Linked DNA regions of Canis lupus familiaris. Each later gene encodes a partner of the first gene's protein in a complex. Links are inferred from orthologs where the notes say so. Each region holds a gene or a part of one and is shown on either strand. Other genes may lie near its edges.

Region 1 (7,475 bases):
CAGGATCAAGTCCCACATCGGGTTCCCGGTACATGGAGCCTGCTTCTCCCTCTGCCTGTGTCTCTGCTTCTCTCTCTCTCTCTCTGTGTGTGACTATCATAAGTAAAAATTAAAAAAAAATTGAAAAAATATGTTATTGATTTGAGAGAGAGAAAGAGAACGAACACAGGGTGGGGGCAGAGGGAAAGGGATCATGACCGGAGCCAAAAGCAGATGCTTAACTTACCGAGCCACCCAGGCACCCCCGAATTCATTCGTTCTGTCAGTTTTTTTTTTTTTTTAAAGATATTATTCATTCATTCATGAGATAGAGAGAGAGAGGCAGAGAGACACAGGCAGAGGGAGAAGCAGGCTCCACGCAGGGAGCCTGACGCGGAACTCGATCCCAGGTCTCCAGGATCACGCCCTGGGCTGAAGGCAGGTGCTAAACCACTGAGCCACCCGGGCTGCCCTCTGTCAGGGTTTTTTTGATGGGGTCTTTAGCGTTTTCTATGTCATCTGCATATAGTAAGTTTTACTTCCTCCTTTCCAATTTGGATGGCTTTTCTCTTTCTTACCTAGTTGTTCCGGCCCAGGTCAATCACAAAGCTGGTGTGAAAGCTGAGACCCAAACTCTATTTTTAAGTCCCACTTCTTCCCCAGACCCTAATGCCCTTATGAAGAGAAAGTTTGTCCACCTTGCTGTTTCTGGTACTGGGTGAAGCCTGGGGGATCTCTTCTGGGCTGACCAAAGGATGAGGAGCCAGTCCTGCACTGTTTCCCTCTCCCCAGCAGGACCAGACAAGCTTCTGCCCACAATGAACACAGGCATCATCCCATTTAACTCTCTCAGCATTTGCTGGGGCCCATACTGGACTGAGCACTAGAGGGTGTTGGGAGTTCAGCAGCGAACAAGACCATCCTTTGGGAGCCTGTGTACACCCCAACACCCAGTCCTTGTTCCATCTACCAGTTCCAGTCCATGAGCTTTACAACTCAGAAGGCAAGAGGTACTAGAGAGGGAAGCAAAAATATGGTAAGACTCCACTGGGAAAAGCCAATCTTGCAACCAAAGACAAAACCACATAGACTTTAGGCCTACACTAAGCCCCTAAATCCCTAGAACACTGAGAGCTGTTTAGTTTGTTGCCAACAACTCCTCACAGCTGTAGGGGGACTGCACAGAACACACTCTGGCTGAATGTTAGAAGAGGCATTTAATAACCAACACAAGCAGTGAGCAAGTGCAGCTCTCACTGATCACGGTGAAGAACAAGTCTCACTTTGATGCTGATGTGTCTTAAAGCTTTCCCTGAAGTTGGTTAATATCTGTCTTGAACAAAAACATCCGGATTTAGGCCCAGAGCCTTTGGCAGGTAACAGTATAGGACCATAGTTTAGTATCATTTGCTTTTTGTTCCCATTACGTTTCATTTCTATATTCACTTATTTCAGTATTCAAGTTTTATTTATGGCTAATGATAGCAGCATTTAATAATTCCTGGCAAGATGTTGCTAGGATCCAATACAGTACCCCAAGTTTGAGGATTAAGGCACAGGGTTGGGAGTTACCATTTGAATCATAGCTCTGCCACAGCCTTGGAAAAATCAGCTTTTTGAACATCACTTTTTCCATTGTAATGAAGATGTTGATTTACAAGATGCTCCCCTGTCCCAAAAATAAGGATATAAAAATCACCATGTGTCCAGCATACCCACAATGGAAAGTCTGAGTACCAAAACTGAATGACAAAATACATGAACTCAAACGTCACAGCAAAGATGGTTGCTTCATCTCATGGGGGTTTTTTTACTTTTCTTTTTAGTAATCTCTATACCCAATATGGAACTTGAACTCATGACCCCAAGATCAAGAGTCAGTCTTGCTCTTCCCACTGAGCCAGCCATGGGTCACCTAGGTTCACGGAGGTAATCTCATTCCTCTATCCATTTTTAAAGTAGGGTTATCACAACCTAAATACCAGCTCTGTAGACTAACCTATTCCATTCAATAGTATTCTGGGTTTCCAGGGTGACTGAAATAATAATCTGTGATTCCATAGTTAATTCCAGATTTTTTAAAAAAATGCTTTATCCTTCCAAATCAGTTTGATATCACTGTCATATGTGGGGGGGGAAGGTTTTTGCAGAAAGATTCCCTGTAAAATCTATAGTCATACCACTGGCAATCTCCTAGTTTGCTGTAGTTTATTGTAAAACATTACCATTTGGGGTAAACTGGGTGAAGGATACACAGAATGTCTTTGGGTTATTTTTCCACTTTCTTCTGAAACTGCTTTTTAACTTTATTTTGAAATAATTAAAAATGCTACTCATGAAAATGAAAGAAGATAAACATTGCAATTCCAAATTTAAAGTGAAAATCTGGGGGCACCTGGATGGCTCAGTGGTTGAGTGTCTGCCTTTGGCTCAGGTGGTGATCTTGGGGTTCTGTGATCGAATCCTGCATCCGGTTCACCACAGGGAGCCTCTGCCTCTCTCTCTCATAAAATAAACTCTTTTTTTAAAAAAATAAAAATAAAGTGAAAATCTGAATGGTATTAGGAGAGCTTTGGAGTCACCTGACAAATGTGGTACCTCGGTGGAGGGACTGGGAAGCTCAGTAAAAAAGGCTTATATATATATGTATAAGGCTCATTATTAACTCTGGCAGTGATAAACATTACCTGGTCTTGTCGCTTTGCTCTCCCCCAACTCCTTGACCCAAGGTTAGGCCTAGACCAAGCTAACTCTGAATCAGCTTCAACTAACAAGGAACCAGATGAGCGGGAGAGAGGCCGGAAAGGTTGTGAAAACCCAGGGAAAGAACACTGTGCACATAATTTATTTAAGTCACTCTGGATCTGAGGCTAAAACACAGCGGATGCCATCCCGGGTGGACGGTCAGCCAGCGCTCCGCGCCCTTCCGGATCCAGGCCTGGGTTTCATCTGGGGACCTCCGACCGCACCAGGGAGTCGGCCTGGCTCAGGGCGAGTTTGTCCTTCTTCTCCTTCTGCAACACCTGCTCTTCCCACAGCGCCTGGTCAACCTGATCGTCTGTGAGCACGACGGGCTTGTACTTCTCGTCGAAGAGGCGCTCGTTCGTCTCAGAATGCAGCTGATGGGGTCCGACGACGCGCAGATGGGCCGGCAGGTGCTGGAACTCCTCGTCGTTGATGTCGCAGTCGCGCATCCGGGCGGCCAGCACCCACCAGCGGCCCACGAAGCCCACGTCCAGGATCCGGTCCGGGAAGTCGGCCCAACGGGGCTGCAGGTAGCGGCAGCGAGCCTGGTAGAGGCTGGCCTGGGCGTCGACGGGCGCCTCGTACACGAGCGCGCAGAGGCCCAGGTTCACGTGGCGGAGGCGGCCGCGCCCCCGCAGCCAGAGCAGCCGCTGCACACAGTCCTCGGAGGCGCGGTTGCGCGTGGCGGGGGCCAGCAGCAGGAGGATGCCCGACGCGTCGAGCAGCGCCTCCTCGAAGGCCGCCTCGCTGGGCGCCAGCGCGCAGCAGGCCGCCGCGCCCCCCAGCAGCCCCGCGTACACGGCCGCCCGCCAGGGCCGGGCCCGCGCCGCCGCCGCCGCGTCCCCGCAAGCCTCGGCGTAGTCTCGGAGCAGCACGCGGGCCCAGGCGCCTGAGGGAGAAGCGGAACACACAGGTGAGAGCAGGCCGCCGTGGCCACCCTCCCGCCGCCGCCCGCCGCTACTCACCCAGCCGCGCCCACACGCCCGGCTTCGCGGCCGCCGGGCCACCAGATCCTTCACGGTTTCGGGACCACAATCTCTTCAGAGCGGCCGTCGCCATTCTCTTCCGGCTCAGAGTCCGTTTTCCGAAGCGAAACGCCTCGTGTGCGAAGTAAAAGGCCCGGGGGCCTCCTGCGCCAGCGTCGACGGTGCCGGAAGTGGCTTCCCATCGGAACAAGACGGAACTCGGACCGCTGCCGGATGTTGCTGTCGGGTCGGAGCGCGGCCGGCGGAGGCCGGGAGGCGGGCCGCGCAGGCGCAGAGAGCCTGGGCCACGCCGGCTGAGGGAGCCTCAGGTGAGGGGGGCGGGGTGCACCTGTGGGGCGGGGGCGGCGAGGTCACCCCCCGCTCGGTGCCCTAGCGGCCTGGCTGGGCTCCGGGCTGAGGGATGGACCTGGGGGGAGGGGCACCGAGTGTGGTTGGGGGCGGGCGTCATTGGCCTCTGTCCTCAGAGCGGGATGCGGTGACGCCCCTGAGCGACCATGGCAGCGGCCGACGAGCTGGCCTTCCACGGTGAGTGGGCGGCGACCTGGCCCGAGCTCCTACTCCCTCCGCCGCCCGGACCCTCCCACCCGGGTGCCCGCCGACAGCCGGCCTGAAGCCCCGACCCTGACCCGAACCCCGCTCCCAGCCTGAGCCTCGGTCCCAGACCTGACCCCATCCCGGAACCAGCCTTAAGTGGTGGGCCCTTGTGGGGCGGGGGGACACACCTTACAACTCCCCAAAACTTAGGAAGCTGGGCCCTTAGGTAGCCCCAGGTGGAGTGTTGTCCCCCAGCCGAGCAGTGGGCCAAACCAAATTGTCTTGACTCCCAAAACATGCCTTTGTCCCGTATTCCTTCTCCATAGAGTTCGAGGAAGCTTCTAGTCTGCTGGCGGAGACCCCAGATGCGGCCACCACGAGTGGCCGCGGTCAGCTGGCCCCACAGGGGCACGTGGCGGTGGAGGTGGACTCGGGTGGTATCTACGGATCTGAGGAGGCTGAGGAGAGTGACAAGACTGCGGTGAGAGCCTCAGGCCCTGCCTGCACCCAGCCCTGCCCCCGCGCTCCGCCCAGGCGGGAAGGGCAGCCGCTGAAAGCCCATGCCATCCCTGCAGCTCCTGCAGGAGGAGAAGCAGCAGCCCGGATTCTGGACCTTTAGCTACTATCAGAGCTTCTTTGACGTGGACACATCCCAGGTCAGGCCCGGGAAGCTGGTGGGATGGGGCCTGCGGTCACACGGGGGTCCAGCCACTGTTCACTGAGCCCTTCCTAGACACCAGAATGCTGGTGATGCCCAGGCGGTAGGACACGGGCCCCTACACGGGCTGGTGGACTGTGGTGCGCTGTCAGGATTATGGTGTGATGGGCTCGTGGGAACACAGTTGCATATAGTCACGCAGGTTAGAGAAGGGCCTCCTGGAGGAGGTGAGGAATGTGCAGAGACGTGAAGGGAAGCACGTATGGCAGGTGCAGGGAACAGCAGATGCAGAGGGCCAAAGGTGAGAGAAGGTGTCACGAGCTACCTGTCACTTGATCTGGTTGGAGATTGAGGTGGGGGACAGGCAGGCAGAACCCAGACCACAAAGGCCTCGTACGCTGTGCTAGTTTGAGTTTCATCGTGAGGGTGCTGGGGAGCCACAGAAGGGCTTAGAGCGGGAGAGGAATGAATTGAATTAGGAAGGTGGCTCAGAGACCCCAGGCCTTAAACCTGGGGTGCAGAACAAGGAATATAGTGGAAAGAGAGGTAGGCAGGAGGATGCCCAGGATTTGACTGTTCCCCACCTCACGGTCCAGGCATGTCACAACATAACAGGCTGTTCAGGGCAGCCAAGCTAAGAGAAGGGAGAAGCAAGGAGAAAGATGACCAACCCGGAAGAGTCCTTGAGAGCAGTAGCGCGCTAGGGTATTGGGGCTGGCCAGGGAAAGGGGCATCAAAAACTCAGGGAACATCCAAGCTTTTTCAGGCAAGGAGATGGGAGCTCAGCAGGGAAGGAGCCCCTAAGGGCAGGAGCTTAGCCCTTTCCTCTTTCTTTGGTGGAGGGATGTGTGTGTTGGCCCTGTGCAGGCTCCCATTCTGGGCCCCACCTTGTCCCCAGGTCCTGGACCGAATCAGAGGCTCACTGCTGCCCCGGCCTGGCCACAACTTTGTACGGCACCATCTGCGGAATCGGCCAGACCTGTATGGTGAGTGGTGGTGTACGTTCAGCTCGATAATTCATTCAGCACATGTGGACCGAGTGCCAGCCCATGGATTCCAGCTGAGAAGAAAGTAGGGGCACTCCCAGAGGGCAGGAAGCACGCATTCCATCTGGGGAGACAGATATATAGAGGCTGCTGAGGGCAATGGGGCTCAGAAAAAAAGCAAACAGTTTAGAGGATGGGAGTTGCCATTTTGCATGGTTGAGACAGGACATCTCTGAGGAGGATGCAAGAATGGGCCTTGTTAGGGATGAAGGTGAGGAGACATAGGGGAAGAACATTCCAGAAGGGGGCACAGGTCCAGTGGTGGAGCAGTATTGTCACTGGAGCAGTGAGCTGCATGAGGTCGTAGAGGTGACAGGAGAGACTGTGCAGATTTTGTCCGTCTCAGTGAGAAGGGGTCTTAGTTAAGGACTCTGAGGCTTCCTCTGGCCATGGGGGGCGGGGGGGGGCAGGGGCAGATGCCAGGAGACCAGAGAGGCAGTGCCCGCCACCATGGTACAGGTGTGGGGTGATGGGCCCAGCCCCAGGTGGAGAGCAGTGGTTGGACTGTGAAAGAGATCTCATGGCAGAGCCGACGGGACTTCCTGACACCCTGACACGCCTGAGGTCGGGCGGGAGGAGAGAGGCAAGGGTGGCTCCTGGATTTCCATCGGGACTGCTAGAAGGATGGGACTGTCATTTACCAACTGGAAAGGCTGGGCAGGCTGGAGTTGGAGAGACCTAGACGTGACGTGGAAATGCTGACTATAAAGCCAGTGGTTCATGGCACAGACCAAATTTGAGACATTTGGGAGTCATCAGCCTGGAGGTGACCTAAACCCCTGAGGCGGGACAAGATGGTGCAAGGGGTGAACACAGAGAGGATGGCTGAAGACCGGCCCTGGCTGGGTCCCCGTTATTGAAGGGGTTAGGGAGTCCCAAAGGTTGGGGAATAGCCAGGAATGTGACATGCCAGAAGCAGGAGCATGAAGTCCTAAAAGCACATGGGGAGTGGTTCCAGAAGAAGGAAGCGATCAGCTACAGCAAAGGCGATAGAAAAGTCAGGAAAGCTGAGGGACTGAGGGCCAGCTCTGGGATCAGCCAGCCCAGGTCATCAGTGACGGGGGGTGGTGTGCAGGTAGCCCCGAGCCTAGAAAGCAGCTGGGGTCCCAGCACAGTTGAGATGGGACAAGTCTCCTGTTCGGGGAACCCTGGGCCCCTTCCCACACCCTGCCCTGCCCACAGGCCCCTTCTGGATCTGTGCCACGCTGGCTTTCGTCTTGGCCATCACTGGCAATCTGACGCTGGTGCTGGCCCAGAGGAGGGACCCCTCGATCCACTACAGCCCCCAGTTCCACAAGGGTGAGTGAAGTGGGCTAGGCCTGGCACCTGCCGGGGCTGGGAGTGCACAGAGCCCCAAGGGTGACTGCCTGCCTTGCCCCGCGCTCCACAGTGACTGTGGCTGGCGTCACCATCTACTGCTATGTTTGGCTGGTGCCGTTGGCGCTGTGGGGCTTCCTGCGGTGGCGGAAGGGTGTCCGGGAGCGCATGGGGCCTTACACCTTCCTGGAGACCGTGTGCATCTACGGC
Region 2 (6,695 bases), on another chromosome or scaffold:
CTTAATTTAGGACTTCTGTTGTTATTTTAATTTGCATTTCTTTGATATGGGCACTTTTTTGGTTTCCTTACCTATTACATGCATATAAAAGTTATATCTCCCTGATGATGCAGTTATAAGGATTACATGAGTTGACAGTATGCAAAATTCTCAGGGCAGTACCTAGCATATAGTACATATTGAGCAAATATAAGATATTTTTCCATGTTTATTTCCTGTGTGAATTTCTATTCTTGTCCTGTGCCTGTTATTTATATTAGTCCTTTGCCTATTTCTTAATAGTTTGTTATAAAGGAAAGCTTTAACTCCTGCTCTATCACATTCTTTTTCCCAATGTGTCATTAAAAATGTTGTTTATAGTTTCTTCAGTTTTAAGTAGACAAATGCATCAATATGAATTTTGCCTTAGACACTATGCTTAGAAAGGCCTGGTCCTCCCCGAGCTTATATTGATAAACACTTTGATTTCACTCTAGTGCTTTCATGGTTTTATTTTCCTAATTCAATCCTTCAATCCAACTGGAATTAATTTGTGTTATCCAAATGTTAAACAATAGACATGTCTTACATTTTCTAATTAGAAAACAACTCGATACTCCATTAATGTCAGAGTCAACCTCCCTGCTGCCTGCGTACATTCATCAATCACCATGTTCAAGTCCACATGCAGTTTCCAGACTGACCTGGTCACCTGTAAACATACTACCTGGATCTGCATAAAACCTCATCATAGGATTTGGCCCACAGGGCAGGGTGACTTTTCTATTTGCATGCTCGCTAATACAAACTTCTTAGGTTTTTTCCTACAGCAGGGGTCAGAAAACTCTGGACTTTCTGGCCAAAGAGTCAGTGTTTTAGGCTTTTGGGCCAGAGAGTCTGTGGCAACTACTTGACTCTGCAGTCACGGCACAAAAGCAGCCACAGACAGCATGTATGTGAATGCATGTGGCTGTTCCAACACAGCTTTACTTATGTGAATGAGACCTGGATTTCATATTCTGTGTATCACAAATTATTCTTTGATTTTTCTCACAACCATTTAAAAATGTAACATCAGTTCTTAGTTTGTGTGCCACCTACACAAAAATAGGTGGCAGACCAGTTTGCCAACCTCTGCTTTATTTCAAGAATTTTTTTGGTGCCTTGTCAATAGGAGTGCCATCCAGAACTTTCTGCACTAACAGAAATGTTTTGTATCTGCTCTCCAATGTGGCAGCTACTCGCCACATACAGCTAATGGGCACTTGAAATGAGTGCTCCATTTTATGTAATTCAAATAGCTGGGACGCCTGGTGGCTCAGCAGTTGAGCGTCTACCTTCAGCTCAGGGCATGATCCCAGCGTCCCAGGATCGAGTCCCACATCGGGCTTCCTGCATGGAGCCTGCTTCTCCCTCTGCCTCTGTGTGTCTCTCATGAAAAAATAAATAAAATATTTTAATAAATAAATACATAAATAAAAATAAATAAATTTTAAAAATAAAAATAAATAAATACAATAAAAACAAATAGCCACGGGTCTAGCAGCTACCGTACTGGACAGTGCATGTCAACAGAGTAGACTGTCTATATATGTGTATATATATATTTTTTCTTCTGGGGACCTAAATCCTCATACTTAATATAGTCACAAGAATAATGGGTACTCGCTCAAGTAAAAGTTCTTCAATTTTTTATTCCAGAGACAAAAGGGAGCAGGCTGACTTTCCATTTCTAAAGGCTGAAAGCTTGGTGGCTACTAAGCAGCGCCCAGAATACTGTCTCAGACCCTGCAAATCTTGAAGCTACTGCTTCACTCTGCTGTTTCTTCTCATTGCTATTATTCCTTAAAACCACACTACATCCTCTTTTCCCCAATCTTTTCCTCTCTCCCCCAAAAGGGTAAAAATAAAAAATACCCGATTAAAAAAAAATACCCGATTAGCGGAAGGCCATGTAGTCTTTGTCACTTTTCCCAGATACCAAATGTTTTGCTAGTAAAATGGCACACTTACCGTCAGGTCAAGCTGACTGTTCCGCGTTGTGATGGACAGTTCAATGGTGGACAGCTGCACTTCCTTCCAGACCTTGGGGCTCACCTCTTGTGAAAGGGCTGTGTGGGGGCATTAGATTTAGGTCAATTTCTTCTGCTAACATCTCACCACTCTCCCACCAATGGCGAACTGCCGGCTGCTTGGCTTGGCCACTCAAACCTACCCCCTGATTCTCCACCTCAGTTTTATTTATTTCATAGTTTCTTACACACAGGATGAAGAGCCAGGCTCAAATGGAACATCTATACACAAAACATCTATTAAAGCAGCCACAGTAACATAAAGGTCAGTGACAGAGGGAGCCATGGTTTGTCACCAATGACCCAGGCTATTTCCATTCATGGCACAGTGTTGGTTTGGGTCCCACTCTGTGGCATACAGAAGGAAAATTCAATGATTCTTGAAAGGCCTCTCCTGTACCACATGTCTCACACTGATTTGGGGGTCTGCTTTCGGACATCCCGAACTGACCAGGGCTCTGCAACCAGAATGTGGCTCACCATCCTGCGGCTGTGCCCAGTACGATGCGAGCCTTCGTAATATTCTCCTGTACAAAGATGGCCGTGGAGGGGTCTCTTCTGCTCCACTGGGAGGTCTCTCTGTAGGTCCCATGTACGAGATTGAGGCTTGATGTGTCTGAGGCCACTCCTTTTAACGTGAAGAGAGAAAACCTTGTCATGCACACCCATGTCCAAACTCTAGGAGGGTCTCTGCAAAGGTTAATCTACCTACACCTGCCTGAAAGCAAATTAATAATTTATCTCTGCTTTGGAACATGGGATCCTCAAGCTTTCTTTTTCTACTGAAGGCTGATCTTGAAAACCATGAACTCGGTGAGTGCTGCCTCCACTGCTCTCACAATCACAGAGCAGAAAAGTCCAAGCAGACTAACCACCACTGCTTATACTTTTTCAAAAAAAAAAAAAAAAAAAATCAGTATGAATGAGCATAGAATCATTCCATAATAAATTTATCTTTGGTTTACAGATGGTGACACAAAAATGAAATGCATCGAAGCATCAAATATCTTCTTCCCTTCTGGAATCCTATTCCACACGGAGCCCAGAATGGTTTAGGCTAGCTTTGCCATCCAGCCAAGGCTTCAAAGACCATCATTCTCAGACTAGATTTTTGTCTTCTACTTCCTGACACCCCAGTCCAGTCTCATTAGTGTCCACAGGAGTAATTAAAACAACACCCTAGCCACTCAACCCTTGATGTCATCCCTAAGTCCCCAGCCACCTATTTCCATGGCCACATCCTGGTCCTTCTCGTTACCCAGAACTATTCCACCTTAGAAACCTAAAACCTTGACGTCTTACTCTGTAGCCACACCCCATATTCTTCTGTTCTTTTGACTGCTTCCTTTGTACTGAACAGGTCTCTTGGGGTGACCCACTGCCTTGGTCTCAGGTTCTCATGCAGTAAATTATAAAGGAGTAACTGGCTTTTCCCTCCCTCCCCTTCTCCCTCTCCATCTGAATGTGGCTGTCCTGGGGACTCACTGCTTCCTCATACAGTTGTCTTCCTATAGCAGTGTCTGCCCTAAAGGAGACATTTTAAGGGGATGAATTCAATTTGGAGTATCTGGAAATCGGATTGTGACCGCATTATCTAAGCTGTGTCCTTTTCTCCTGCTGACATTTATAAAGCTGGTGTTTTGATCTCCATCTGCCTAGCTCCTGCATTGGCTTTCATAACTTGGTTCAAACTCAGAAGAGGAAGAGATGGGTGTGATTTTTGGCCCATGAAGCTCCGACCCCACACCAAATTTCTAATCACTTTGAGAATTCCAGGCCCGGATACACCATTTTCTCTCAGTGCTTAATGAAGTTGATTACTTTAAATCACCCTTTTCCCATCACTGTTGGTCCTCATGTGTCTTTGGGTGTTACATAATATGTGCCCTGAGAAGCCCCTATTCTGGATCGAGCTTGTCACTAGGTTTCTGTACTTGCACTCTGTGGCTCAGTGTTACTAGATGGGCAAACAATACTCCAGGTTGGTACTGACTCAGGGAACAGGGCGCACCTGTGCCACAACAAATCTTTGGTCTCAGGTCCTCAATACTACTTGTTGATCCTTCCAAACCTCCCTATTTTCATCTCTCTTTAAGATCCCCCCAACCCCTAGCGCCCACCTCATTTTCAACATATTCCCTGGCTCCCCATGCTTCAGCGAGTCAGGACGACAGTGGGAACTGCCTTAACCCTCTCTTCATTTGTTTGCATCTGGACCTTGGCTCTAGTTCTCTCCCATCCCCTCCTCCATCCCAGGCTGGCCCAGTACCAAGGGCCCCATGCCCTCCGACCTGTGTTTGAGTTTTGCAGGTTCAGTCAGGCTCTGCGTCTGTCTCTTGTCTCTCACCTGCTCCCCCCCTTTTTTTAAAAAAAATTTTTTTTTAGATTTTATTTATTTATTCATGAGAGACAGAGAGAGAGAGAGAGAGGCAGAGACACAGGCAGAGGGAGAAGCAGGCTCCCTGCAGGTAGACCAATGCGGGACTCGATCCTAGGACCTTGGGATCATGGCCTGAGCCAAAGGCAGACGCTCAACCACTGAGCCACCCAGGTGCCCCAACCTCTTCCCTTTCTTCCTGTCTTTTGTTTCAGGGCAGAAAGGCACTGCGCTCTCTCTACGCAATTAAACAGTCCATGGCCTGTCTTTCTCACTAGCTCTGGCCTTTCCTAGCTCTCTCCTCTCCAAGTCAGGCCTCCTGAAGGAGCGGTCCCCCTCCACTGTCTTGGCATTTCAATGTGGCTCAGCTGCCCCCTCGGAGGTGAGCAGAGCTTCCGAGGCTGAGGCTGCCCCGTTCAGTGGGTGCCCTCCTGTCCCAACACTCCCACTCCCGGGGCTGGCGTGTGTGTGACCCTCATGGGGACCCCCTTCCCCTCAGTGCTCCACGGGCAGCTCCGTGGTTCCCTAAATGCCTACAGTCCTCGGGGCTAACCATGGGCTCGTTTGCTCTACACGGCAACCTCGTCAAACCCCGAGTTGCAACACCACTCCAGCACTCAGGACGTCTACACCTGTGTCTTCAGACCTAAGTCACAACTGAATCTCCGCCTGTCTCCACAGGGAGGCTGACCTCCGTATGTGCCAAACTGAAAACATCCCCTTTCTCCACAAATTTGATCCTACTCTAATATTGTCAGTGTTAACAGAAAACTAGTTAGTGAACTAGGCCCCGATCAGAAACCAGGGACTCCTCTCATCCCCCATTTTCAAAGGGGCCACCTCACGACCCCTTTCACCCACCCTCTGCTGTCAGCACACACAGTTGGCATCCTGGCTGGACCTCATCGCTTCTCACCTGCCTTGAACAATCTTTGGTCTGGTGCCCTTGCCTTCAACTACCGGCAGGCAATCTCTTGTCTACACTCCTGACAAATAACTTTTCTAAAATGCAGACCTGGTCCTATCTCTCCCCTGCTTAAGACTCAGCAACTCCCCAACGCTTTCATGGTAAAAGTCAGACGCCACATCCAAACCTGCCATGCCTAGCCCTCCCTCGACACCCCCTCCCTGCTGCTCGGCTGCCCTGGCAGCTGTGTGACATCACGGCCATTTCACACAGCCTGGTTCCTCCACCCGGAATGCCTTTGCTCTAGTCCTGTACAGATTCAAACTCCAGTATAAGTGTTCTCTGCCCTGGGAGGGCTGCTGCCTCCTGTCTGCCCCCACCTTATCTTTCCATACGCTGTCCTTGCACTTGCCAGACCACGGGGCTTACTTGCCCCTCACACTCCCTGCACGTGGATCCTCCTGGAGGGGAGGAAACCTGTCTTATTTGACTTTGAACACTCCAAGCAGACAGCAGGGCTGGCCCCACTAGATATTTAATAACTGTTTACTGAAGAAATGCTGGAAACAGTTTATGTTCTCCCTGACTCTACAACTTAACGTAGTAGAGCTTTGCTACTCTTCTTAAATGCACCCACTACTCCACCACTGAAATTATTCCCTTAAGCAAGAGTAAAGATGCATTTTACTGAAACAGTCTGCCTTCAGTGTAGAGAGGCTTTGCCCTCCAAGTTCATTTTCATAATCATATAAATTGGTCACCCTAGTACTTTAGGGTTTTGTTTTTTTGGGTTTTTTGTTTTTTGTTTTGTTTTTTTTTTTACATTTCTTTAACATACAAGAATTTATTTAGAAGATACGGGGAGCTATGTTTTCCAAATGTTTTGCAATGGACATACATCACTTTTATAATTAGAAAATCCCTTGACACTCTGAATATTAACATTAAAACCAATATTTTCACTACAAACTTCATCTGCCAATTTTCAGATTGACCTGCCAACTTTTGAATATACTGCTTTGATTTGCATAAAAGCCGAACACAGGATGTCATCCACAGATAAGGATGACTTTTCTATTAGCATTTTCATTAATATACACGGTTCAGCTTTTCTCTATGGCAACATTTTTCAGTGAACAGGCTATAGGAGCAGTGCCGGATGGAACATTCTCCAATGTCGGAAATATCCTCTATTTATACTGTTCAAGACAGTAACCACTACCCATATTTTGCTAGGACAGTTTGAAACCTACTCCATTATACACAAGCCTGCACAATTACATACATTCGGATGCAAATCTTTAATTCATTTCCAGATATGAATGTAGACACCCTTACAAATAATTGATGAGATATAGGT
Region 3 (7,431 bases), on another chromosome or scaffold:
TTTCAGAATATGCTTGGAGAGGTTCAAGTTTTCCATCAGAAAACTACCTATGGAAGGAAATTGGGTGAGTGGAGAGAGATACCAGATCAGTGTCTGTAATTGTTCTCTCTCCATCTATGATCCAGGCCAAGGATGTTCCATAAAAGGCTCCCTCATTCATGTACCTTGGCCACATGGAATTTCTTCACATGCTGACCTGGACCTCACCTGAACTCTAATGAAGACCCTTCATTTGGGGATTGATTATTACTCTCTAAGTAGTTCCATGGGTTAATTATTTAGACCATTCCTTGTTTTCCAAGGCCACCTTACCTGGGACTTGCCAAGGGTGGGTGGGGGGTGGCTGTCCCAGGTTCTCTCAGATCCAACTGTAGCTCTGAAGATCTTGGCATGGGGCATCTGAGTGGCTCAGTTGATTAAGCATCTGCCTTTGGCTCAGGTCATGATTCCAGGGTCCTGGGATCGAGCCCCTTATCAAGCTCTCTGCTCAGTGGGGAGCCTGCTTCTTCCTCTCCCTCTGCCTCTTGCTCTGCTACTTTTGCTCTCTATCAAATGAATAAACAAAATCTGAAAAAAGAAAAAAAGACTTCAGCATAAATCAGAGCTCTGGGCCCTTCATTCATCTGGAAGGAAAGGGTGGTTGCGAGGGCATGTTGAGTTAGAGGTGCTTATGGGAAGTGTCTGGTTCCTGTGTTTATGAGAAGGGTCTAAGCTGAAGATGAAGATTTGAGAGTCATTTTTTTTTTTTTTTTTTTTTTTAGATTTGAGAGTCATTAATGCAATTTGAGGTGGAGTAGAAGCCACGAAGATGAGTTGCTCAGGTAGAATGAGCTGCGGAGGAAGACGGTAAAGGATGAAGCCCTGAGAGGACCAACAAGAAAAGGCCACGCAGAGGTGCGTGCAAAGGAGATGGAGCATCTGGAGAGGCTGTAGCAGAACTAGGAAAGAGGGGCTCCACTAAAAATATGAAGAAACTTCAGACAAGAAGGGAGACAACAGTGTCAAATGCAGTACAGAAGTCTAGTAAAATCAGGCCTGAATTAGATTCAACAACTAGGGGACTCCTGGTGGCTCAGTCGTTTAAGTTTCTGCCTTCGGCTCAGGTCATGATCCCAGGGTCCTGAGATCGAGCCCTGCATTGGACTCCTTGCTCAGCAAGGAGTCTGCTTCTCCCTCTCTCTCTGCCTCTGTGTTCTCGCGCGCTCTCTCTCTCAAGTAAATAAATAAATCTTAAAATAAGAGATTCAACAACTGGGAAATCCCTGGGGACCCTCAGACCAGCCCACTCAATGGCTTGGTGGGAACAGAATCAGGGTGAAGCATGAGGTAGGAAAAGACATTAGGGTTCAAAGCCAAGGGTCGAGAAAGAATTCTTGAAATGTCTTTGGTGCAAAAAGGTGATTTTATGAAAGCACGGGGACAGGACCTGTGGGCAGAAAGAGCTGCTCTGGGGTCATGAGGAGCGGCCTGTTCATATACTTTAAGTTGGGAGGGCTTAGAGACACCTTAAGTCTCTAAGGAATTTTGGAAGCAGGGTTTCCAGGACCTTGATGGGGTAGCTATTGTTGGGAAAAGGCCATTTACTACTGTCTGATACAATAATGTCATGGGCCCCTTCAGATGAATATTGTTAGGTCATATGCTTGGGGGATGATCTCCAACATGTATCTTGGGGGGTTAGAGATAAAGAAAATTTCTAAAGGAATTTCTATATGTTAAAGTAGACTTACAGGATCCTAAGATTCCCTTCTGCCCTTAACAAAGTATCAACATGGAGGCATTGAGTCCCTAGAGGAATGTCACTCTGCCTGTTTCAAGGTCTTGTCACTGGGCTGTAGGGAGTAAGAAAATTTAGCAATTTTTCTTCTGCCTTTGTTTTCCACATCAAAGCATATGCTGTGCTGGGATGCACTGAGAACTTCGGGTACCAAAGAAATATCTCTGCCCACCTCAACTGGCTATGCTCACCACCTGTTTCCATTAAGGTTTCTCTTAGCTAAAACACTCAAATACATTGCTAGTCTGGACCAATGCAATAGTGTGGAATCTATTTTAGTAACATAAAAACTAGTGCAAAAGTTTTTCTGGATTCATGCATAGTACTACCTTACAGTTTACCTTCAGGTTCTGAGTCTGCAAGCTGGTGAGCACTTTAATTGGTTTCACATAATCTAAACCTGGCTTTCCAGGGCAATGCTAGTCCCACATCACCAATTCCACCGACAACAATAACTGGCTGGAGCGTGGGTAGGGGCCCCGGCCTTGCCCTCTCCACCTCCTTTTCTTTTTTTTAATTTTTTTTTTATTTATTTATGATAGTCAGAGAGAGAGAGAGAGAGAGAGAGAGAGAGAGAGGCAGAGACACAGGCAGAGGGAGAAGCAGGCTCCATGCACCGGGAGCCCGACATGGGATTCGATCCCGGGTCTCCAGGATCACGCCCTGGGCCAAAGGCAGGCGCTAAACCGCTGCACCACCCAGGGATCCCTCCACCTCCTTTTCTTACACTTAGCTAGCTTCGCTCATTAGTTCACTCATTTGTTGGGCCCCTTCTCTCTCCGCAAGGGTTTAATTGTCAAATAAAACATATATTGCATACACTTATACCAGGCTTTTACGTTTATTCACAAAGCACTTTCCACCATTTACCTCTCACCACCCCTGCGAGGAAGGAGTAGGCTGGAAGGGCAGCGGCGCGGTGCGTGCGCCCCCTGGCGAGGCTCCGGCGCGCTGCAGCCTCGCGGGGGCGCTCCTCCGCCCCCTCCCCGCAGTCGGGAGCTCCAGACGAGGCCCCGAGGCGCGCGCCCGCGCAGAGCCTCCTGGGAGATGCCTGGGCTATACAGATCGCGGTACCCCCCGCGCTGCCGCCCTGACGAAGAGGGCGCTTTCTGGTGACTCTGAATCTTGTTCATTAGGGCCGTTTGGATGCTGCACAAGCCTGACTCGGTATTGACAAGGGGCTTTTGGGGAACATGGTATCTCTTTCGCCGGAGGCACGAACGGACTTCGCTGGCGTCGTTTCTTGCACTTGCTCGTTGTGGCGAATCTGCCGTTGCGTCACGGGGGCTAGGCGCGCCCTAACGTGAAGCTTGCGGAATCTGCTGTGGGAAGAAGAACGCCAGGGTTTCTCGAGCATCTGCAGTCATGGCGACTACCCCCAGTACGGGGGCCTCCGCGCCGGAGGCAGCGGGTTCCGCCGAAGCCCCGCTGCAGTACAGCCTTCTTCTGCAGTACCTGGTGGGCGACAAGCGTCAGCCCCGGCTGCTGGAGCCCAGTAGTCTGGGCGGGATCCCGAGCCCGATCAAGAGTGAGGAACAGAAGATGATCGAGAAGGCGATGGAAAGCTGCGCCTTCAAGGCGGCGCTGGCCTGCGTGGGAGGTGAGGCAAGACTAGGGGGCCCGGTGGGAGGCTGAGGGCTTGCACGGCAGCGGGGTCCTCTGCCAAGAAGACCACGGCCTGGGAGGCGAGGAGCCTGTGGACCTCGCTCCTGACTGCACCCCTGCCTGGATCCGTGAGCTCGGGTGACCCCTCTCTAGGCCCTGAGGTTCTTTTTCGCCCCTGGAAATTGGGTCAGAGAATCGGTACCATATGGGTTGGGGCCTAAAGGTTATAAAATGCCTGCCTTCATTCGTTGGTTCGCTTTTAAATAAGCATTCTTTATTTTTTTTTTTAAGATTTTATTTATTTATTCATGAGAGACACAGAGAAAGAGGCAGAGGGAGAAGCAGGCTCCATGCAGGGAGCCCGATGTGGGACTCGATCCCGGAACTCTGGGATCATGCCCTGAGCTAAAGGCAGACGCTCAACTGCTAAGCCACCCAGGCGTCCCTAAATAAGCATTCTTTCAACGAGTTGTTAAAAGTAACCGTCACGTGCTCAGGGGTGGAGGGACAGGGTTAGAGACCAGAGCCAGGTTCTCATGAAGCTCACATTTTAATATATATATATATATATATATATATATATATATATATATATATATATATATATATATATATAGAAACAAGAATGTTGGGAAGGAGCCAGGCAGGAAAGTGGAACATGGGGGAGCAGCAACTGCCAAGGTCCGGTAGGAGCTGGCTTCCTGTTTGAAAAACAAAGGACAGGGGTACCTCTGTGGTTCAGCAGGTTAAGCATCTGCCATCAGGTCGGGTCATGACTCCAGGGACCTGGGATCCACCCCGCCTTGGGGCTCCCTGCTCAGCGGGGAGTCTGCTCTCTCCCTCTCCCTCTCCCTCGGCCCCTCCCCCAGCTAGTGCTCTCTCCCTAGCTCGCTCTCAAATAAATAAATAAAATCTTAAAAAGAAAAAGAAAACAAAGGCCAGTGTGGACAGTGTGATTAGATGGTGGGAAACAAGGGGGAAAGACTCCCCCCCCACACACACTTTTTTTTTTTTTTTAGACCTTTTGAAAAAGGATTTGAGAGTGTATGGTGTCCCTCCTGTAAAGAGGTTGGCCACATTTGCAGATGAGTTGAAATCTCATGAGAATGAAAGACAAGAAACAAATACAGTGGGAGTGCAGGTATGTAGTAGAAAGAGAGCAGTATTTTTATGGTTTGGGGAAGGCTACAAGAGGTGAGACTGCAGCTGTATCTTGAAGGATTGAGAGAATGGGGGTAAAGAGGAGGAGAAATGCCCTTTCAAGTTGGAGGTGGAGTTGGGGCTTTGGGCTTTTTTGTCTTTAGGCATTAGAGCAGTAATTGATGCACATGATGACCCAGCATAGAGTGTGGTGAAGAAAGAAAGTGTGGGTGGGAAGACGGCATAGGGAATTTGCAAAACTGAGGTGCAGTGCAGCCTGGCCTTGGTGTTTGTTCATCATTATGTCCGACCCTACTACATCACTTACATATTTGTTAAAATGATGAATAAGTCTTTGTAATGCTCTAGAGTGGGAGTGATACAGGCCTTAGACTAGGATGATAACTGTGAACATAGGGTTGTAGGGGAAAGCAAAGAACCGGTCAGAAATGCCCTTCAGCTTTGGAGTTGGAGTGCCTGGAAAGAAGGAAGAAAGTCTGGAGGGAAGGTGCCCATGACTTCATTAAACATATTTTGACCTTGGGGTGATGAGAGGACATCTATATAGAAGTGTCTAGCAGGCTCAGAAAGATGGGGACAGCAGTGTATGGTTGCTATTTGGTAGCTTTGTGACCTTAGGAAAGTTACTTAACCTCCCTGAGCCTCAGCCGATTCAGCTGTAGAATGGAAAGGGTAATAGTATCTACCTCACGAGACTATTGTGAAGAATAAAAGGAGCTGTGACTATAAAGCATCAGAGTGATTGGAGCATGGTACTCACTAAATGATAGTTATGAATGTCACCATTGTCAAGGGAGTGATTTGCAAAGTTGAGAGTTGAATGTATGAGTACAGACAGAACAGAAGGTTAAAGATCGAATCTTCAGGAATGTTAGAAAATGAAAAGAGGAAGAAATCAAAGACTGAGAAGAAGATGTCAACAAGATAGTTTACGGCTTGTGTGATGTGCAACCAGATAACTGGAGAGTTTGGTAAGATGGAGTAGGGGCGGTAGGTAGGGGGTGTCCTCTTTGCTGGTAGCCAGCCAAATGTGCAATTCGAGTATGACCTCATTACAGTAACCCAGAAAACATGCCAAAGAAGTCTTCATCTGTGTGTCTTTTTAGGATTTGTCTTGGGAGGTGCCTTTGGAGTGTTCACTGCTGGCATTGATACCAATGTGGGCTTTGACCCTAAGGATCCTTACCGTACACCGACAGCAAAAGAAGTTCTGAAAGACATGGGACAGAGAGGAATGTCTTACGCCAAAAATTTTGCCATTGTGGGCGCCATGTTTTCTTGCACCGAGTGTTTGGTAGAATCTGTAAGTGTCTCTGCCTTCTGAGAAAGACTTGTACCATCTTATGACTTCTAAAGAGCGCTATTAATTAGAAAGCAGAGCAGAAATGTCTGATACTTGCTAGATTGAATTTTCATTGAATAGTTCTGAATGTAAACTTTTTGTGCATTTATTGCATTTACTTGGGCTTGCATTGTTTTTTACGTTTCTTTGTAGGCTAGAATTTGGTTAATGATTTATTTTTTAAATTTTGTAAAATTCTAGTTAACATACAGTGTAATATTAGTTTCAGGCATACAATATAGTGATTTCCACACTTCCTTTTTAAAATTTTTTTTATTTTTTTATTTTTATTTTTTTTCACTTCCTTTTTTTTTTAAAGGTTTTATTTATTTATTCATGAGAGACACACAGAGGCAGAGGGAGAAGCAAGCTCCATGCAGGGAGCCCGATGTGGAACTTGATCCCGATATCCCGGGACTGCGGGATCACATCCTGAGCCAAAGGCAGACGCCCAACTGCTGAGCCATCCAGGTGTCTGATTCCACACTTCCATACAACACCTGGTGCTCATCACAAGTGCGCTCCTTAATCCCTATCACCTATTTCACCCATCCCCCACCCCCTCCCCTTCTGGTCACCATCGGTTTGTTCTCTGTAGTTGAGTTTGTTTCTTGGCTTGCCCTTTTCTCTCTTTTTTTCCCTTTGCCTATTTGTTTTTGTTTCTTAAATTCCACATGAGTGAAATCATATGGTATTTGTTTTTCTCTGACTTATTTTGCTTAGCATAATACTCCCTAGCTCCATCCATGACATTGCAAATGGCAAAATTCTTTTTATAGCTGAGTAATATTCAAGTGTGTGTGTGTGTGTGTGTGTGTGTGTGTAAACATCACATCTTTACCCATTTGTCAATAGATGGACACTTGTCCTGTTTTCATAATTTGGCTATTGTAGATAATGCTGCTATAAATATCGGGATGCATGTTTCCCTTTGAAGTAGTATTTGTATTCTTTGGGTAAATACCTAGCAGTCTGCTGGATTGTACAGTAGAGCTTTTTTTTCTTTTAAGATTTTATTTTTAACTACTCTCTATACCCAACGTGGGGCTCGAACTCCTAACCCTGAGCTCAAGAGACACATGCTCCACTGACTGAGCCAGCCAGGCACCCCAAGAGTTCTATTTTTAACTTTCTGAGGAACCTTCATACTGATTTCCAGAGTGGCTGCATCAGTTTGCATTCTCACCAGCAGTGGAAAGGGGTTCCCCTTTCTCCATATCCTCACCCAACACCTGTTGTTTATTGTGTTGATTTTAGCCATTCTGAGAGATGTGAGGCGTTAGCTCATTTAGTTTTGATTTGCATTTCCCTGGTGATGAGTGATATTGAGCATGTTTTCATGTGTCTGTTAGAAGTTGCTTAATCATTTTAATCATGAGACTTATTGGGGAACCAGAGAAGAGATTTTGATTGCTTCTCAAATGGTACACTTGGTTTCAGCACTCTGGTACCACCTGCAGGAAGTATCCATGAACACATTCAAATTTTAGGAACTATACTTTTGAAAGTGAAAAGGATTAGGTTTCCTTTGGGGGAGGGACTAAAT
Region 4 (7,278 bases), on another chromosome or scaffold:
TTAAGAAATTACTATAATTTTGAAGGCATGAAAAAAATGGCATTGTGGAAAAGGACTTTATCTGTTAGAGGTAAAAACAGATGAAAATATGGCTAAATGTTAACTGTTAAAGTCTGGTGATGGGTATGTGGAAATTCAGTATACTGTGCTCTCCACTTTTCTGTATGTTTTTAATTTGCTCTAATAAAAGTCTAAAAATTAAAAGAATGAGAACAATGATTTCTTTTTATTGAGCATCTGCCATGGACTAGGGGCTTTTAGTGCATTTTTTATTTTTCATTTTTGTAAGGATTGTTTTAACTTTTTATTTTGACATAATTGTAGGATTACAGGAAGTTGCATAAATAGTACAGAGACAGTACTGAAGGTTAAATCTTACATAACTATATGCTATATCAAAGCCAAGATATTGACACTGGAACAATAGTGTATATAGTTCTATGACATCTTATCTCACATGTTTAGATTCATATAAACAGGGACCCCGGGGTGGCTCAGCAGTTTAGCACCTGCCTTCCGCCCAGGGCATGATCCTGGAGTCCCAGGATCGAGTCCACGTTGGGCTCCTTGCATGGAGCCTGCTTCTCCCTCTGCCTGTATCTCTGCCTCTCTCTCTTTCTCTGTGTCTCTCTCATGAGTAAATAAATGAAATCTTAAAAAAAAAAGAAAGATTCATATAAATATCTCCACAATCTGGGTGGATAACCATCCCATTGCCACAAAGATCTCCTTTGTTCTACCCCTTTATAGGCACACCTTCCTCCCTCTTCTCACCTGTATGGCTCTAACCCTTGGTAACCATTAATCTCTTTGTCTCTATAATTTTGTCATTTTGAGAATATTATTTAAATGGAATTATATAGTATGCTTTCGTAACACCTAATAAAAATCCTTTTTTTTTTCTAATAAAAATCCTATCGAGGAAACAGATTACACTTGTAAGAACTCGTTTTCCCATGCGATTTCTTTTTTCTTTTAAAGATTTCATTTATTTATTCACGAGAGGCAAGGTCATAGGCAGAGGGAGAAGCAGGCTCCTTGCAAGGAGTCCAACGTGGGACTCCATTCCAGGACCCTGGGATCATGCCCTGAGCTGAAGGCAAGCTCAACCGCTGAGCCACCCAGGTGTCCCTCCCATGCAATTATATTCCATAATATGTTGACTATATTATTAAAAGCAAAAACCACTACAACATGTGTCCACTAAAACATACATACAATAGTATTCACAGCAACATTGTCCTAACAGCCCCAAGCTGGAAACAACCCAAAAATCTATCAACAGTGAATGGATAAATTACCTGTGGCTCATTCATACAATCTAACATTAGACAGCAATAAAAAAGAATGAATAATGGTTACACACAACAATGTGGATGAAATCTTAGACGCTACATTGAGCTAAAGAAGTCAGGCACAAACCAGCAAATAGTGTATGACTCCATTTACCTGAAGTTCAAGAATAGGCAATAGAAGTCAGAATACTGGTTAACTTTGGGAGAGCCGGTATTGACTGGTCAGGAACATAAGATAACTTTTAAGGGTGTTGGAAATACATTGTATTTTGATCTGAGTGGTGCTTATGAGCATAAATATATATTTAAAAATTAAGCTTAAATTTTATGTATTTTAGTCATTTTCCTGTATAGATGTCATACCTTAATTTTATTGAAAAAAAATTTTTTTTAAGTAACCTCTACACCCAAGGTGGGGCTCAAATTCAGGAGGATGGCTGGGTGGGGGGTGGGGGGAGGTTTGGAATCAAGAGTTGAATACTCTACTGACTGAGCCAGCTAGGGGCCCCTGTTATACCTTAAATTTTTTTTAAAGTGTGTGTCTATGAATTGAGAAATATTTATTTTATTTATTTTTAGTTTTTAACTTTTTTATTTTTAAAGATTTTATTTATTTATTCATGAGAGACACAGAGAGAGGGGGGCAGAAAGAGGAAAGGCAGGGTCCATGCAAGGAGCCTGATGCGGGACTCCATCCCGGAATCTGGGATCAGGCCCTGAGCCAAAGGCAGATGCTCAACCACTGGGCCACCCAGGCGCCCCTATTTTATTATTTTTTTAATATTTTATTTATTTATTCATGAGAGACACACAGAGAGAAAGGCTCCATGCAGGGAGCCCTATGTGGGACTCCATCCGAGGTCTCCAGGATCACACCCTGGGCTGAAGGCGCCGCTAAACCGCTGAGCCACTGGGGCAGACCTATACCTTACTTTTTTTTTCTATACCTTAATTTTAAAAAAGATTTTATCTATTTGAGAGAGAACGCACGCGCTCAAATGTGCACGTGGGGAGAGGCAGAGGAGGGAGAGGGCGAGAATCTCAAGCCCATTCTGCACTGAGCTGGGGGCCAGGGCAGGGCTCTGTCTCATGACCCTGAACCGACCGAGCCACCCAGGCACCTCTAGCTTAATTTTCAAGGATTGGGGCACCGGGTTTGCGAAAGAGGAGTCCTTGGAGGAGACATGAGGGCTGAATTTAGGATCCTGACTTTCTTGGGCAGTGAGGGAAGCATACAGTGACCAGCCATACAGCGTCCGGCCCACCTCCTCCAATGGGCAGCGGACGCTTTGCATCTTGTACACTTTGTTTACTGGGAAATCCCTTGAGAAACAAAAGGATTGGGGGCGGGTTTCTGTGGTGTAGGGGTTCAGATGGAGCAACGCACGCACGGGGTCTGGAGAGAGCAGCTCACAGCCCCTTCCTCCTCCTCGCTCTGATGCACTAGGTTAGCCCCGGCGGCAGCCAACGTTGCTCTTGTTCATCTCTCTGGGCCGGGGCGTCTGGAAGTTGCGCGGACCCGGCTCGTCCTCCTGCGAGCCCGGAGACAGCTTAGCACCTGCGGGCCGCTGCGCTCCCTCCGTCCGGGGAGCTCTGGCTCGCAACCTCGGCTGCACCAAGAAACCGCCCGAGGTCAACTGAAACATTTACTGAAGTCTGCGTCCTGCTCCCAGAGGTTCTGATTTGCTTGGTATGAAGCGAGGCATGGGCATCGGGGCACTGGGAGCGGCCCGGGCGACCGTAACGAGCAGCACAGACACTACGGCCTTGGAGGGCGTCCTTCCTTCTCCGCGCCGCGCCGGGGTCTGTGACCCGCCGTCGAGCCTCGGGGGCTGCGGCCAAGCTTCGCGGAGCCCCGCCCTCCGGCGCCCGCCTACAGACAGTCGCACTGTGACCTCTCCGCCGAAACCCTGGGGACGGCACCGCCAGGCTGCAGGCGCTCTGCACTGCGCCCAAGCCTCTATGGTATTTTGGCGTCCCCTCTAGCCCTTGCAAGTCGCCTTCGGGCACGGCCGGCGGCTCCTCTCTATGGTAGCCGATTTCCCCGCGCCGCCTCGTAGGGGCTTCACTCCGGAAGCGAGTCCGATCAAAGGGGAGGCGGGACTTCCCTCCCGGAAGTGACCCACGTGCTTCCGCCTTAGCCTACCTGGGCGTGCGGCGGCTGTCTAGCGTTTGCGCGAAGTTGAGGACACCGCGGGCACAGTGACTGGCCCCAGGCCGTGGTAAGTGACCGCTCGCTTCAAGGTGACCCCGATGCACCTCGCCGCCACGTCAGAGGTGCAGCCCCTGGGCCGGGACCCGTGGACCTTTAGCACCGCGTGTGATCGAATTCCCAGGGCCCTGGAGGTTCAGGCCCCGCGGTTCAGTGTTCCTTTCCGGTCCCGAGATCTTTTCCTGGGTAGAGTGGCCACGAGGGGCTGGGGCGCCAGGGCTCGATTTCCAGCCCCTCCATTGACGTGCTGTGTTCCCCTTCCGGGCCTCAGTTTCCATATCTGTGAGATGGGATAGTTGAGCCCACTGAGGTCAGTGACCCCTGCCCGCCCGGTGTCCTATGATTGTTCCGCATCCTCTACGTCCCCCTGGGATGGGAAACGGAACGGGAGGGCTCGAAGCTGACGGTGATGTCCGCTCCCAGGACTAGGAGGCCAGGAGATCTTTCCCACGGCGCAGCGCTGAGATGGATCCGCTCAGGGCCCAGCAGCTGGCTGCCGAGCTGGAGGTGGAGATGATGGCCGATATGTACAACAGGTGAGAGCCGACAGCGCGCTCCTTGTCTTTGACAGTGATCCTAGGTCACCCTTCCTCAGGGCACCTGTCGGAGGGTGCGCACCCCCACCTACGCTCCTCGTGGCTGAGGGCCAATGCAGACGCGGTACGGGTCGCTAGAAGGAGTTGGACATCTAGGTTGGAATGCACTTGGCAAGCGAGAGAAGCCCCAGTCCAAGCTCTGGTTGGCTTTCAGGAACGGTTGAGCGTTTGCCTTTGTGGCAAACAGCACGCAGCCCGCTTGGTGGTTTACATTTCTTAAACTCTTACTCCACCTCGGGCACATGCTGAGCATTCTACGCGCCTTCATCTTTTGTGATCTTCAAAATGATCCACCGGGTCGGTCTTAGTTGTCCCATTCTAAGGTGAAGACATGGAGGCTTCTAGAGGTTAAATAACATTCACAGGGCTCACAGTTGGTCAGTAGCAATGTCAGGACCAGGACCTCGGTCTGACTCCAAACGAGTGCCCACAACCATTTGGCAGATGCGGGAACAAATCATAACTGCGCCAATCACCACTAGTGTGGCCGTGGGCAAGTCACTTGGACTGCTTAGTGGTTTTCCTGTCTATAAAATGGAGGTGGGGCACATGATGGTGCAGTTGGTTGAGCATCTGACTCTTGATTTCATTGCAGGTCGTGATCTCAGGGTCATGGGATTGAGCCTCACATTGGGCTCTGCACTCAGCAGGGAGCCTGCTTGACATTCTCCCTCTCCCTCTCCCCTGTTTGCCCACACACATGCCCGCGCAAGTGCTCGCTCTCTCTTTCTCAAATACATAATACTAGTTCTTTTTAAATAAATGAATAAATATTGCTTCTAATCCTTTTGGCTAAGATCAAGTGTAAAAAAATAAATAAATAAAATGGAGATAATAATGGTGCCTACCTCAAGGAGACATTATAGATGTTAAATGTAGAAATGTGTGACAAGGGGTGCCTGGGTGGCTTAGTCGGTTAAGTGTCTGCCTTCAGCTCAGGTTATGGTCCTGGGATCGAGCCCCACGTCCAGCTCCCTGCTCAGTGGGATGTCTGCTTCTCCATTTCCCTCTGCCCCTCTCGTTGCTTGTGCTCACTCTCTCTCTCTTAAATAAATAAATAAAATCTTTTTTTTTTAAAGATGTATTTATTTATTCATGAGAGACACAGAGAAAGAGACAGAGACACAGGCAGAGGGAGAAGCAGGCTCCTCGCAGGGAGCGTGATGACTCAATTTCAGATCCCCGGATCACAACCTGAGCCAAAGGCAGATGCCCAACCACTGAGCCACCCAGGCGTCCCATAGATAAATAAATTCTTAAAAAAAAGAAATGTATATAACAAGCTCTTATTGGGTTTGTATCATGCCCAGTACAAAGTAAGCAGTCCACATGTTTTCTGGTTTTATTGGCTTCAGCTCCATGGTATTTTCTCTTGATGGCTTATCTTGAAGGCTGTATATTAGAATACTTCCAAATATTTAAATAATTTAAAAATGCAGGCCATGAGGTCCTGTGGGTTCATATCCCAGCTTTACAGGATCCTGAGGCTCTCCATGCCTGCATTTCCTTATCTGTAAAATGGGGATAAAGATTGTGCCTGCCTCACAGGGTCATTGTAAGGACTGCATAACCAGCCATGTCAAGCACTTAGCATGATGCCTGGAACATACCCAGTAGTCAACTAATGGCTCCTGTTTAAATAAACTTGGGCTCAGATCAGGTGAGCACTCTCAAGGACCTTCTCAGTTAAGATGCGAACTGAGGATTTACACTGCCTTCCTGGGATGTGAAATTAGCAGGGCAGGCATGATGGAGAGTTCCTGGTTGCCTCAAGATGCTGCTGAGCTGACCTTGCCCTTCCTTCCCCTCCAGAATGACCAGTGCCTGCCACAGGAAGTGCGTGCCTCCCCACTACAAGGAAGCAGAACTGTCCAAGGGCGAGTCCGTGTGCCTGGACCGCTGTGTCTCCAAGTACCTGGACATCCATGAGCGGATGGGCAAAAAGTTGACAGAGTTGTCTATGCAGGATGAAGAGCTGATGAAGAGAGTGCAGCAGAGCTCTGGGCCCGTGTGAGGCCCCAGACAGTATACACCCCAAGGTGTGCCCTGCCCCTTCCCACTCGCCTAATAAAAGTGCCCCTATTGGGTGTCATCTGTGAAGACTCCCGGGCCTCGGCTCCCTCTGGAGAGCCTCCAGGAACCCAGAGTATGGTAGAGTTACTCTCCCCGGTTGGAGAAGGGGTATTTGTCACACTGTGATGTGACTGTGTATGTACGTGTATGTGTGTGTGTATATATTAAAACAGATTTGTTGACACCTACCACACGGAAAGCAGTCTGCCTGGCATTTGGGAGCAGGGGCAGCAGACACAGCCTCCACCAGCAGAGGGAGTCTAACGTGTTTAAAAGCACAGACTAGTGGGAAGTTTTAGGTTGTACTCCAGGTCAGCCACTTGCTGAACATGTCACTTCACTGTGCTTTAATTTTCTCATCTGTGAAAATGAGGATAATCATCTGGTGGTTGTGAAGATTAATGGTTTAATACGTTTATGGCATTTAGAATGCTAACTGGGACAAAGGAAGTGCTCAGTAAATACTAGCTGTGTACATGTGTTTAACAATTTAAAATTTAAGTGGAGTCAGGTGGGCAGTTTTCCAGATAATAAAGGAATATTTAGAGGAGCAAGTAACAGGAGATGGGATTTGAAAAGGAAGTAGCCAAGCCAGTCCCTGGATTCTAAATGGCAACATGAAACATACGAAGGGTTCAGCTTTGTGTGTGATGTGAGTGATCAGGAAGTAAGTGAAAACCACTGCCATTCACTGTTCACCTGAATCAGGGACTGCACTCCTCACTCTGCATGTGGTATCTGATCTAGCTCTTTCTACCATCTTTCTGGGCCGCAGTATTGGTGCATGTGAATGTCCTGGCAGATGTTCCACAAGAGCATTAACAATGCTGAAAAGAGGGCAGCCCAGGTGGCTCAGCGGTTTAGCGCCACCTTCAGCCCAGGGCGGAATCCTGGAGATCCAGGAGATCCAGGGTCGAGTCCCACATCAAGCTCCCTGCATGGAGCCTGCTTCTCCCTCTGCCTGAGTCTCTGCCTCTCTCTCTCTCTCTGTGTCTCTCATGAATAAATAAATAAAATCTTAAAAAAAAAAAATGCTGAAAAGAGGCAAATGCCAGGTTCTGATTAGGCCATGCTCCAAAGTCATTGTCTGGTTTCTACTTGT

What was found.
Region 2: the proteins of TIMM29 (region 1) and AGK are in contact, whole or in part, in a cryo-EM structure (PDB 7CGP), measured with the Homo sapiens proteins. The link is inferred for Canis lupus familiaris from reciprocal best matches to the Homo sapiens genes TIMM29 and AGK. Residues at the interface, in NP_612367.1 of Homo sapiens: Tyr145, Gln146, Cys149, Arg150, Tyr151, Leu152, Gln153, Arg155; in NP_060708.1 of Homo sapiens: His33, Asn36, Arg39, Arg40, Cys43, Gln44, Gln47, Asn51, Lys82, Pro86, His89, Leu90.
Region 3: TIMM29 (region 1) and TIMM22 share a complex: the UniProt entries of both Homo sapiens proteins name them as parts of the TIM22 complex. The link is inferred for Canis lupus familiaris from reciprocal best matches to the Homo sapiens genes TIMM29 and TIMM22.
Region 4: the proteins of TIMM29 (region 1) and TIMM10 are in contact, whole or in part, in a cryo-EM structure (PDB 7CGP), measured with the Homo sapiens proteins. The link is inferred for Canis lupus familiaris from reciprocal best matches to the Homo sapiens genes TIMM29 and TIMM10. Residues at the interface, in NP_612367.1 of Homo sapiens: Asp181, Asp183, Ile184, Asp186, Phe189, Leu192, Leu196, Arg197, Val199, Gln203, Leu204, Ser206, Asn209, Glu210, Leu212, Phe213, Asp214; in NP_036588.1 of Homo sapiens: His30, Arg31, Lys32, Cys33, Pro35, Pro36, Leu43, Ser44, Lys45, Gly46, Glu47, Ser48, Val49, Arg53.

What each region holds. Positions count from the first base shown.
Region 1 is NC_049241.1:50,722,881-50,730,355, forward strand, and holds TIMM29 (mitochondrial import inner membrane translocase subunit Tim29), read right to left. Parts: upstream 4,010-7,475; 5' UTR 3,784-4,009; coding exon 3,690-3,783; intron 3,614-3,689; coding exon 2,925-3,613; 3' UTR 1,182-2,924; downstream 1-1,181. Other genes in the region: protein YIPF2, read left to right, coding at 4,205-4,235, 4,571-4,725, 4,820-4,900, 5,801-5,888, 7,131-7,247, 7,339-7,475. UniProt on the Homo sapiens protein: Component of the TIM22 complex, a complex that mediates the import and insertion of multi-pass transmembrane proteins into the mitochondrial inner membrane.
Region 2 is NC_049237.1:7,354,778-7,361,472, forward strand, and holds part of AGK (acylglycerol kinase, mitochondrial), read right to left. Parts: intron 2,680-6,695; coding exon 2,532-2,679; intron 2,091-2,531; coding exon 1,993-2,090; intron 1-1,992. UniProt on the Homo sapiens protein: Lipid kinase that can phosphorylate both monoacylglycerol and diacylglycerol to form lysophosphatidic acid (LPA) and phosphatidic acid (PA), respectively. Does not phosphorylate sphingosine. Phosphorylates ceramide.
Region 3 is NC_049230.1:44,794,915-44,802,345, reverse strand, and holds the start of TIMM22 (mitochondrial import inner membrane translocase subunit Tim22), read left to right. Parts: upstream 1-2,820; 5' UTR 2,821-3,142; coding exon 3,143-3,377; intron 3,378-5,649; coding exon 5,650-5,846; intron 5,847-7,431. UniProt on the Homo sapiens protein: Essential core component of the TIM22 complex, a complex that mediates the import and insertion of multi-pass transmembrane proteins into the mitochondrial inner membrane. In the TIM22 complex, it constitutes the voltage-activated and signal-gated channel.
Region 4 is NC_049239.1:39,103,902-39,111,179, forward strand, and holds TIMM10 (mitochondrial import inner membrane translocase subunit Tim10), read left to right. Parts: upstream 1-3,016; 5' UTR 3,017-3,517; intron 3,518-3,930; 5' UTR 3,931-3,972; coding exon 3,973-4,043; intron 4,044-5,915; coding exon 5,916-6,117; 3' UTR 6,118-6,369; downstream 6,370-7,278.